2 linked regions of the Caenorhabditis elegans genome follow. The protein of the gene in region 1 interacts with the protein of each later gene in a biochemical or structural test. Each region holds a gene or a part of one and is shown on either strand. Other genes may lie near its edges. The genes, in order: bro-1 and rnt-1.

Evidence for each region.
Region 2: of the proteins of bro-1 (region 1) and rnt-1, one has a biochemical effect on the other in vitro, tested with the Caenorhabditis elegans proteins (2 studies listed by BioGRID, with this or other methods).

Annotation. Positions count from the first base shown.
Region 1 is NC_003279.8:5,184,911-5,189,985, forward strand, and holds bro-1 (Core-binding factor subunit beta homolog bro-1), read left to right. Parts: upstream 1-2,015; 5' UTR 2,016-2,074; coding exon 2,075-2,239; intron 2,240-2,671; coding exon 2,672-2,737; intron 2,738-3,478; coding exon 3,479-3,706; 3' UTR 3,707-4,330; downstream 4,331-5,075. Other genes in the region: slx-1 (Structure-specific endonuclease subunit SLX1 homolog), read left to right, coding at 1-60, 390-465, 523-678, 733-924, 1,138-1,230.
Region 2 is NC_003279.8:5,781,859-5,789,113, forward strand, and holds rnt-1 (Runt-related transcription factor rnt-1), read left to right. Parts: upstream 1-1,952; 5' UTR 1,953-1,982; coding exon 1,983-2,051; intron 2,052-2,783; exon of another isoform or gene 2,784-2,804; intron 2,805-2,948; coding exon 2,949-3,066; intron 3,067-3,322; coding exon 3,323-3,442; intron 3,443-4,243; coding exon 4,244-4,317; intron 4,318-5,293; coding exon 5,294-5,410; intron 5,411-6,019; coding exon 6,020-6,078; intron 6,079-6,130; coding exon 6,131-6,249; intron 6,250-6,301; coding exon 6,302-6,531; 3' UTR 6,532-6,752; downstream 6,753-7,255. UniProt on the Caenorhabditis elegans protein: Transcription factor. Binds to regulatory DNA sequences in order to modulate transcription; negatively autoregulates its own expression, perhaps dependent upon CBF beta homolog bro-1.

The sequences.
Region 1 (5,075 bases):
AAAATCTTTGAAGGAAAAACAGTTGAGAAAAGAGAGAAAAGAGACTCCGTTCGCATTTCAGTAAGGAAATATATTCCCAAGACGCGAAGTTTTGCAATTTTCGCGTCAATATACGGTACCCGGTCTCGAGACGATAATTTTTTGTAATAATAAGAAAGGTGTGCGCCTTTAAAGAGTACTGTAATTTTAATAATTTTTTGCTGCTGAACTTTCATCGAGGCTTCATTGTATCCAATAAAAATACCTTTTATTATCGAAAACTAAAAAAAAACTTTGTCGTGTCGAGACCGTGTACCGTATTTTGGCGCAAAAATCACAAATTTTAAGTCTGGGTAAATACCTTTAATTAAAGTATAATTAATTAATTAATTAAAATAATTTAATTTCAGACTCCGTATCGCCTGCGAACTGATGAACAGTTCCGCATTCTGCCGATTTGCGCTCACTTTTCGATGGCTGATTACGGTAATTTTTCCCTCGAACATTTCAGAAATTTCGAGATTTTTTCTCTCAAAATTTCAGACAGAAGAACTTCCATTTCCAACAAGCTGTGTACCACCGGATCACACAAAACTTCGTTTTGGAAAAGTGAAGAAAGAGATGAGCCTGGTGCCATCGAAACGAGAAGATTATTTGGAAATGGGAGAATGTAGAATTTGTGGAAAAGATATTGAGAAGGTGAGAATTTCATTTTGAAATTTCAAGAATTCAAGAACATATTCTTTTTTTCAGCTCTGGAGTCTTGTCAGATGTATTTCCGCAACTTGTCCATCACATTTTCACTCCAAATGCTTGTCGGAAAACGGTTTGAAACTGAAAAACGAACATGTGGACCACGTATACCCGCTGAAAGCCAATTGCCCAACATGTGGACAATTTTATTTATGGGGAGATATTATCAGAGAGCAACGACGGATTATCAAGGTTTTCGTTTCTATAAATTCGAAAGTATATTTTTTGTAAAAAGCATTGGCTTCAGTCAAACGTTGTAAAAAGTCAACAAATTTTGACCCTCTAACACTACTAACTGTAGATTTACGCAGATTGTGTACTACCCGAGGAGAATTGTGTATTTTTAATTTTGCAGCTTTTTCAGCTCAAACACAAAGTTATGTAAAGCCAAAAAACTAATTCCAGATCTCCACAAAATGCGCTGAAGAGTTCCAAAACATGGTTGTGCGGAAAGAACTCCCTCATCGAGAAATCAGTCCAATTTCGTCGAAAAAATAACGATTTAAATATTTCGATTATTGTACTTACTCACTTGCTTTATTGTCAGATCACTTATAACTAACATTCGATTCGAATAAAAATGGTTTACTGGAAAAAATGTGGTTAAGGTTGAAATAATACTAGTATCAGAAGTGATCGGAATATGATTTTTTGAGACTAGCAACACAACACTGAGAATGGGGAATTGCACAACATATTAGACGCGCAAAATATCTCGTAGCGAAAAGTGCAGTAATTCTTCAAAGGACTACTGTAGTACTGGTGTCGGTTTACGGAAATCATTTATTAAGCGATGAAATATTTGAAGAAAAAACAAAAATGGCAAAAAATACGAAGAAACTAAAGAAAATGGAATATCGCTGTCACTATTCGAGAAGAAATAAATTTTGAAAATCGCGCTCGTAAATCGACACAAATGCTACAGTAGTCGTTTGAAGAATTTCTGTAGTTTTCGCAACGAGATATTTTGCGCGTCAAATATGTTGCGCTGTACGCATTCTCAGAATTTTGTGTTCCCGTAATATGGCAATTCGGACTGGGAAAACTGAAGTCTGAAAAAAGTTGGAACGTATTAATTGAACGTTTGACAAAAATGGGTTTCCAGCGAATAGCATAAGTATGCATTTGTAGTTTTACTTTTTAACAATTGTATTGTTATCAACAATTTGAAGGAACTACATTAATGTTTCCCAACTTTACCTCCTGTTCATCTTTCTCCCGCACACCATTAATATTCTTGTGACTCCGCCTCCTGCCACCCGCCTGTCGGGTTTCCGACAACATTTGTCGGTGAGCGCCTATTTCTTGTCCACCTTCTTCCACTTGGTGAATATTCTCAAACATGAAAAGAACGACAACGGACCAGCAATCATCGTTCCAAACTGATTATTTTCTGACACAACTTTCACATTTCACAGAAGCCAAATTCTCTCTATTCGAGCATGCTCCACTTTCAGAACGACGGGAGCGGTTTAGGGTTCATGTGGAGAGAGATGAAATGCCCTTGGTGAGTGTTCCAAGGAGGATTTGAAATCTAAAATTCTTATTATCAAAAAAATTTGCTTAAATATATATTTGTTTTCTTATTTTCTTGAGTTGGATAAACCCAAAAAATTTCACAGAAAGATCTTTTTTGAAAACTATGTGGTTGAGTCTGAAAAAAAAGTCTCTTTGATCTTTTAGATGTTTCCGTTATTATTTTGACAGTAGTATTCTGAGCTGGTGCTGATAATTCCTTCCGCATTTCATACTCTCTTATCACTAGAACCTACAACAACATACACTCTTTGCCTATTTCAACACATTCCCGTTACGTAGAGTTATCAGATTGAAGAAGTAGGTGGAAAAGAAATGGATGGAATGACACTGTTAGATGTCATCTAACAAGGACAAAGATCCGACAAGATTACAATCCACATCATCGTATGTGTGTTTTCAGACTTTCTGCAAGACGGGAATCAATATACCTGTCAAGTTGGAATGGTCCCAAACTAATGGAAATGAGGTGGGATTTAGTAAAATGTTGGAATTAACTTCAATTAAGCATAAATAAAAAAAGTATCAAATATCATAGATAACATTTCAAAAATTTTTTGAAATTTTTTATCTGTTCACAAAAGGTGGTTCACAATCAGTTTTGATATCTAAATCATCTTTGTAACCACATTTTCATTAGGGCCTAGAAATCGTTCTTAGTGAAATTTTTTGTAGAAAAAATCCGTTCCGTGAAACCCACAAAATCGAGATTTTAAACTTTCCAGGGATAAAGCAAAAAATTTGAAAATTGGTAAGCGTCTTCCAAGATCGAAGAAGAAAGTGCTTTGATTTTTGCTAAATTTTGAAATTTCAATTGAAACCAAATCAAAATTTAGCCCAAACATTTTATTTAATTTTTCAAAATTTTCAATCAAAGTTTTGGCAAATTACCGAATTTTCGAAAAATTTGAATTTTTTAAGTATTACTGCAGATTTGAGCCCTACAATGTTAGTACACAAATGTTAATAATATACGAAATTGATGAAAAAACATTTTTTGGTCAACTTGATGAGATATGATAGGTGAACTGCTATTTCGTTCACAAAATTTCAAAATTTTATTGAAAATTTTTACTATATTTAATATTTGGTGAATTTAACGCCATAGCACTGGTGATACTCCATTTGCAGAGCCTAAAAAAGTACATCAAAATGTGATTAATTATTTATTAAAATTTTCCTTGAATCCTCAATTCGGATAAATTTGCAGATAAGTTTCCGTTCTCGGCCACTGGTTTTCAATGGAATTTGGGTAAAAGTCATTGGAGCAATGAACTCAGAATCACTGGAGGGACGTGTTCGATTCGAACGATTTCAACGTGAGAAGCGTGATCGTGTGATTTCAGAAACCTTCGTGTTTCCAGAAGTTGAGGAGGAGCCAATTGGACTGACGGATGCTGAAATTGCTGCCCTTCGACGCGATGGTCTTCCCATTTGAAACGGAGATTCTTTTAACAACGGGTTAAAATATGTGACAATCTGTATGTAATATTTAGAAACAGATCTATGTGATAGTTTTCGAGTTCCAAAAGTTGGCAATTTTTGAGTCACCTTATTGAAGTCTTTATCATTAGTAAACCTAGATAGGTTTGCTTTTGATAAAGGTAGTAGTTGGCAATTTCGAAATTCTACCGGGAACTTAACAGCTGTGATTCACCACTTCTATCATATCAGAACTTTGAAATTTATAGAAGAATTTTTTTCTTCTGGAAAATTTTTGAGAAAATCAAAGCGCGTTAATTTTAAAAATTCCAAAAATCTTGCGAAATGTTTAAACTCCCTGAAAGCCACTTAAACTTTTAATGTATAGTTCTTCCAAAAAAAAAACAAATCTAATTTTGAAATCTGAGGGTAAAATCTAAGCCCTTCCTAAAATAAATCCACTGCCTGTTTATTAACATAACTCCCACCCCCCCCCCCCCCCTGTGATATGTTATGTTCAAATATTATCCTCTCAATCTCTTCCACACTTCCGTTATATATTTGCATTTTGTTGTGATCTCCTTGTGTTCGCTTTTCTCTCTTTCATCGAATTGAATCAAATAAAGTTGTAATATTTATGTGTTAATGTCGGTCCACAACACTTACCAACTTGTTACAACTCGCAGGTCCTATGCTTCGTGAATTGAACGGGGACAGAGGGATGACATTCAAATGTACATAAAATTAGGAATGTTGTAAATCCATTCTCAACTCGCGCAAGTATTTCTTTGAGGATCTGCCGACAAGGGCAAAAAAAGCCGTAGAATCATCATAAAACATTAAACGTATTTGGGTACATGTCGATATTAAAATTGGAAAGCCAAATATGATTGTTAGATGTAGGTAGGCAAATGTGCCTACGTGGTGGAAAAGTCTGAAATGAATAATAAATTTTCTACTCTGAATGGATGAATTTTTTGTTTTGTATAAATGAATGTTTTGTATACGCTCATGTTTTAAAAAAAGTTTGGACTTCTGCGTGGATAACGGTAATTCCATGAGGACTGGAAATTGGTTTTTTTTTTAAGTAGACTGAACGAAGAATCATAATATTTTTTACCCTCAATGGGAAATATTGTTTTTTCACGCAAAAAACTGCACTCGCTCTCCCCACGAACGGAAAATTTTCGAACGGAAGTTGTGCAGTGAGCCATGCGCCTTTAAGAGATACAGTAATCCGATCAAAGTTGTTTTCAAGCCATTTTTTGTTTTTCTTTTGCTCATTCAGGATTTTTTACACTTTCAACGTGTTTTTATTTAGATTTCAAGGAATATGTTTTCAAAATAAAACAACGAGAAAAATTTAAGCATTTTTTTCGAATTTG
Region 2 (7,255 bases), 600 kb from region 1:
GCTCAGTTCTGCTATTTTCATTTACACTGTACTTAGCTATTTAATTCTTTAATACTATCTCCGAAAAACCGCAATATTTCCAAAATCTCCCCGTTATCCCGTTTCCCTGACCCCTTTCACCGCTCTCCATTTCACTTTCGCTCATTTCATTTTTTGCGGTCCTTTTCATTCCCCCACCTACTCAAAAGTCTACCTCATCTTTTCTTCATTCTTTTTTCGCTTTCAATTCATCGTTTTCAGTACCTGTCCTTTATCTTTTCGCCCCATCTACCGCCCGCCAACACCTTTCAAGCCACATACGCCCGCCCCCAATGTCATTTTGAAATTTACCTCTGATTTTCTGAAATACTCGATTTTCAACAAATAATTTGTGACAAGTTTGAAGTAAATATTTAGTTCAGAAAAACAAACTCACAGTTAATAAGTCAAACATGAGTTTCAGCTATGAACGAAGCTTTGAAACCGGAAATCCAAATAACTATGAGTTTTCTTAAAGTTATCATATAAAATATTTAAAGAGTCATCCTATAAGTTTTATAAGAAAAAATATTTCTAGTACCATCCCCTTACTCAAAATTACTTCTGTTAGAGCAATAAGAAAAATACCGTAATTTCATTGTTTCTTATCGCGAAAACTCGAATCTGAAATAACGAGAAATGGTGGACGATTTTGGAGAAATTATTTGATTACCTAGTGAAAAAATATTGTACGTTCTTACAATTAAGTTGTCTCCTGGGCATGTTTTGTTTGGTAATTTCCGGAAATTCCGATTTCAAAATATTTTCTAATTTGGTAACTGCCAAATTGTTAAATTACCACAAATTTTAAAATATTTAGAAAAGGAAAGGCAAAATCCAGCAACTTTTGAAAAGAAACAAAAATTGAAATTGTAAAGAATTAAATAAGATGCAAATATATTCCAACTCTATCACAACTTCCTTGTAGGTTATTAAACTTTTTTAGATTCATAAGTAAATGTTTGTCTACTTGGAAAATTGTTGAATATATAATTTTCTTCATTTTCTTATTTGAAGTCATTCATAAACTTTATTTGAATAGAGTTATCAATTTTTGAGAAGTTGGTAGTTTAAAGAATGTGTAAGCAAATAAAATAACTTCCTTTTTTCTCTGGAATTCAACAATCTTTTTCCCCTCGTTTCGTTCCGTTTTAGTAATTTTCAAATTCTTTAACCAATTTCATAGGTGTGTCTTCTTTGAACATATAAACACCCATTTTGAAACTTCGTTTCTTTCCAAACCACACTTCCGCTTTATCAGTTGAAAACGGAGCACAATCGTCTATTTATCTAGTTTTTGCGGTTGCACGGCCAAAAGACATCATTGGCTCGTTTCTGGCAATCTTGTTTTTATTTATTTGTTTACTAAATGTTATGTTAAAATTTATTCGACGAAAAAAATGTTTTTCTTTGAATTTTATGGATCAAAATATAATTTTAAGGCGGAGAAGGATCAGTGGAAATTTTGTCAAAAAACATATATGTATACTCGAAATGTTTTTTTTTTAATCTGAGTATCCAAATAAGACACACTAAAACGTTTCAGATTTGTCAGTTTTTTTTTCAGTCTTCTGACAGTTTTGGAAAAATACCTCGAAACATTTGGACCTTTCGAGGAATTCAGTATTATTGCATTCCTATAAAAAATAAAACTCGTAGAACATTTTTTGGTTGACTTCCAAAATTATTATAATGAGCATTTGTCACTGTTTGTCTGAAAATAATAAAATGCACTATGATATTTGGTCACAAAAAGCACTAGTAGTAATTTTAAATAATTTCCCTACTCCGCCTTGAAACCCCCATAAAAAATGTACATGAAGCTTTCAGATCTCTAATTTTTTTTTGTCATTATGATTGCAAGCAATAGTTTCATTGTTCTTGAATTTTCAAATACCTTCTATCACTACTCAATTAAATATGTTCATTTTCAGTGCTGGAAGTATTCTGGGAAACTAACAGAAATGACCAACGTCTTCCATCACGTTCGGAATTTTATAGAGCAACAACCTGCACCTGCTAAAACATTAGAGGTATGTATGGCACTTGAACACCTGTGATTCTTTATAAAAAAACTTCGAAGTCTTAGGTTTTCAATTTTTAAACTTTCTTAAGTCATTTATTCGGTTTTCGGAAGAAAAATCGTTTTTTAAAACCTGAAATATTGATAAACCTGGATTTTTTCAATTTTTCCTAAAATCATAATCTAGTCACTTTAACTTTAAAATTGTACCTGTATATCACAATAATTTTGAATTGAGCATTTCGATTCGAAATTGGGAAATTTTGGTTTTGTTACAGTGACTTTTAACAATTGTTCCTAAAATTTCCAAAAATCCGAACGTAAAAGAACTTACAATTTATCTAGTCTGTGAACGGAATTTCTACAGTTTTTTTTTAATTTTCGTTCATAACATTAGAAAAAGTTGAGTTAATTTTCCCGGCAAAGTTTTACAAATTTAAATGTACTTTTTTAAAAATTTCAAAACTCTTCCTTTTCTTGAGAGTATACGGTAGTTCATGACTCTAGGGTATTGATTTTCCATAGTCAATTATGAGCAGATTTTATCAAATCATCTTAAAGATTTACGAGACGGTATGAAATGAAAAATAAAAATTACACTACACCAAACTACAACTTATAGCAACATTTTTACATTTTGTTTTTGAACTTTTTTTTGCAAGACATAGAGTATATTGATTTTGCATCGGTTGGAAATTGAGTAATCAAATGAATACAGTAATCTTCATTCTCTTATCATAAAAGTATTCAGCTCAAACCACAAGCATTTCGATGATTTTGTTGAGTTTTAGAGGTTTCATTGAAATTGACTTTGTAATTATCAATCGAAAAATATTACATTTTATATAATGACGAACAAGAGTGTAAAAGAATTGTGAGATATTTTTACAAAACAATAAATTTTCAGAAATCATCATCTCCAAACATTTTATACACAGCTCTTCCGAAGCATTGGAGATCAAATAAATCATTTCAAGAACCATTTTATGTTGTATTACTAACGCCTGTTCCAGATAATACAGAAGGTAAATTATTGATTTTTCTTTTGATTCACTTTCGTATTTATATTTTTACTTTTTTCAAAACTCTCTACGATTTGAAATAAGTTTGGAATGATTTTTTTGGAATTTTGCCTTCTCTTGAATTATTGTTGAAATCATGTGATTGAGCATTTCTGAAAATGATAAAACAAACCTTATATTTGCATTGCTTTATGTTGAAATTTATATTTCAAAATAAATAAAAAAAGCAATTTCTTCACTGCTCAAATAATATTTTCAGTATCAATTTGGGCTGGAAATGACGAAAAACCATGCGAAGAAGTTCGAAATGAGAAAGCAAAAGTGCATCGACAAGTGGCAAAATTTAACGATTTGCGGTTTGTCGGGCGGTCCGGCAGAGGTGAGTACTGTAGCCAAATAACCGGTTGGCGCGGGTAGAAAAAAGGGGTAATGACCACATATTTGTGGGTATTAGTACAAAGTAGTCAACTGACAAAGAAGTACTGTATATGTAACTGCAATTGGTAGGTAAGTAGAGAAAAGTGGTGAGAGGTAAGAATGCGGGTAGAAAAAGTATGACACTTGGGAGACAAAAAAAAATGAAACTTCCTAAAATTACTAATAGTAAATTAAATAATTTAATTCCCTGATAAATACATTTCATATTCTACCTATTAGTTTCTATCAATCTATCAATTACAACGTTATGGGCTTTGAACTTCATTTTTCCTAAATTTATCAATAAATATAAAATAACCGATATGTAAAATTCCAAAGTTGAGCTCTGGGAAGTGCATGGAAATGCACGGTTTATTATAATAACGTATGGTGCATGTAACTTTTAGTTGTATCAAAAAACCAAAAAATTAATTTAACCTCTTATAAATCTATTGATTTGTGTTTTCTTATCATTTTTTCCACTTCTGTCTAAACATTTTCTCATTTTAAAAGCGCATACATTAACGGCCGTGTTCCACATTAAAATAATAAAATTTTCCAATAAACTGATGATTCCACCTGAGTAGTCTGACCGGAGCCATTATATTATCCGGAACATCAGTGTAACATAAAAATGCGCGACAAATGCCCGCATTTAATGGGATACTTTTTGTGAGGTGGCGGCGGCGGCGGAATGGAGAAGAACATCGTCGGCTCATAATAAAACTGCACATTTTCCAATCGTTTTTTGTGTCTTTTGCAGGCCGAAAATTCCATTTGACAATCGTTATACATTCGGCGCCGATGATGGTGGCCACCGTCAAAAATGTGATCAAGGTGAGTTTATCCGAATGGATTGTGGGAAGTTTTGTGGAATTCTAAGGAGAAGGGAATGTATTTATATGATATCATGTAGATTTTAAATGCGCCTATAGGTAATTGATAATTACATTGAGTAAGTATCAATCTTTTTTTGAATTAATTGGATAACTTATGATTCAAAAATTACCAAATATTTCCCTACCCAGAACCGAAGTTGTGCTATTTTTGAGGCAAAATAGATTTTTTGGCTGCTACAACTCGCAAATGAATAATACAAATTAAGGGTCTCGAAACGACTGATTTTTTTGGAATAAAAAGGAGCATGCACCTCTCAAGGGTACTGTAGTTTTACATCCACTCTAATTCTTATTTCTCTTCGAGCATCTGATTTTACAAAAAACAACGAAAAATCGAAAAAAGTTGTGACGTGAGAACTACATACTTTTTAATGAGCGTATTCCATTCTATAGCTAACATTTTAAAACATTTCCGTCGTGTCGAGACCCTGTAATTGCCACTCAAAATTTTGGAAGTCGACCAAAAAAAGCTTTATTCTTTTAAATTTTTTGTTGGGGCAAACATGAGAAATTGCTCAGAATCTCCCAAAAATGTTAGGAAATCAAAAAAAATTTTAAGCGTTTTTATGATATCAGTTATTTTATGAGTACAAATTTATACAAAATTCCCTCTTTAACTACTCCATCTTTAAGTTTTCTAAAACAATGTATAGATTTACCGCACATCAACTACCGTACTCTCTTATCTGATTATTAACCACGATGCGTCACCTGGTACACCTCTTTACAAATAAAAACTAGTTTTCAGAAAGCCTAGTAATCGGTAAATATTCTTATCAATTGCAACTTCTTATGTTGCATTGAGTTTTGGTTTATTTATTCAAATTTATTTTTTAAAAAAGGAAGCCAAATATGTTGGAATGGGAAGAAATGATGTCAGTTTAATACGATAAAACTTATTAATTTAATTATAGGTTACGGTTGATGGACCAAGGGATGCGAGAATACCAAAACCACAAGGATCTTTGAAACGGCAGGCAGAACAGCAGACAATATTCCCAAATGATATTATCCGAACGCCTGGACCACCGGTACGATTTTTTGATTTTTGTACAAACAAAATTTTGTATTAATTACTTAAGTATAGGGTCTCGAAATTACCAGAATTTGTTGAATAAAGCCTGAGAAAAAAAGGATGTGACTTTAAGAAGTACAGTAGTCTCCTTTTTCTGAAATCGAGGCAAATGAAAACGCTCCGCCCCCTCATGTTGGGTCTCGTTAGGTATTGGCGGGAATATCAGAAATTCAAACGTTTTCAATAACTTTTGCTGATTTCACCTGATTTCGAGAATTAAATTGTTTCTACTCTCAATTGACTCTAATGATTTTTACTGTGAAATAATGTTTTGAAAAGTACAGAAAAGTGAATAAGGGTTTTTATTTGATTATGAATTTTATGGCATCAGTTTCGATATAAAATTCATCCGATAATACCTAACGAGACCCAGCGTTTGGGGGCGGAGACTTTTGGCGTTGGAGCGCGCTCACACCCCCAATTTCAAAATTCACATTTTTCTGCGTCCCCAATATAAAAAATTCATTCATTTTTGAAATGTTTTTAATTTGAAAAATTCTGCAAAAAACTGTAGAAGAACATTCATGAAAAAATTGCAAACAATTTTTAAAAATTTAATTTTCAGATGCCAATGACAATGATTCCACCACCATGGTTTCCTTTACCAATGACTCAAACTTTCCCGTAAGTTTTTCGAATTTCACATTATTCATAAAATAATTTTTATATTTTTCAGCCCATCATTTTTTCCGCTTATCTCTCCAGGACCACATCCTTCTATCTCAGCTGCACTTTGGAAAATTCACAGCGAATCGATGAAAACTCCGATTAAACAAAAAGTTGAACAGGAAAATGGTTAGATTATTTTTTCGGAAATAAATATATATATATAATTTATTAATTGCAGTATCCCTTAATACGTCTACATGCCTATCATCTCCATCAATTTTTATAACTCCAACTTCTGATGATCGGAAGTTAAAACGACCATCTTCTCCTCGTTCAATCACAAAATCATCAGAAACTTCAATTAATTTAATTCAAGAAACTCCGGAATCTGTAGAATCAAAAAGACGAAGAAATGTATCAATAACTTCATCGAATAGTTCTTCTCCGACTATTTGGAGGCCTTTTTAATCTTAAAAATATTCATTATTTTACCACAACACACCAAATTTCTCTCAATTTCCAAATCTCAATTGTTTCCTACCTCTTCAGTCACTTTTCTCAATATTCTCGTTTTAAAACACGTTCAACGGGTTCATTTAACGGTTTTCAACCTTTTTTGTATAATAATACAAGTTTTGATCTAAATCGGAATAGATTATCATCATATCTAATAAAGTTTCAGGTTTGAATTCAACTAGACAACAAGTCGTACTATCGAAAAAATTTTATTCGAAAAAAAAATTAATGCGCAATCTGCGAGAAAATATGCAATTGGGGAGGATGTGAAAGAGTACTTAAGATGAATAATTTTATAAGTGATAAAAAAGATAAAACGTTACCTTCGATTCTTCTTGTATACATTAAACGAGAGGGAGGTAAAACGCAATGCGGAGAGTTTAAATCTACAGATGGGACCAAGAAAATGGCATACGAATTGATTGCGAATGACAAGGAAAAATGGCATCAGATTCGGATAAGAGTTGGGAGATGGATGATTAGAAACACAACAAAATAACAAAATTGATTAAAAAAACAAACAATTAAGAAGGCCCAAACTAAACGCTACAGGGGAAAACAAAAAAAGATGTTACAGATGCAATATGATTCACAGGGAGTTTTCTCATTCATAGTTTTCAGCAAACATAAACTACGTTGATTATTTCTACAGAACTACGAGCGACGGAACTTATAT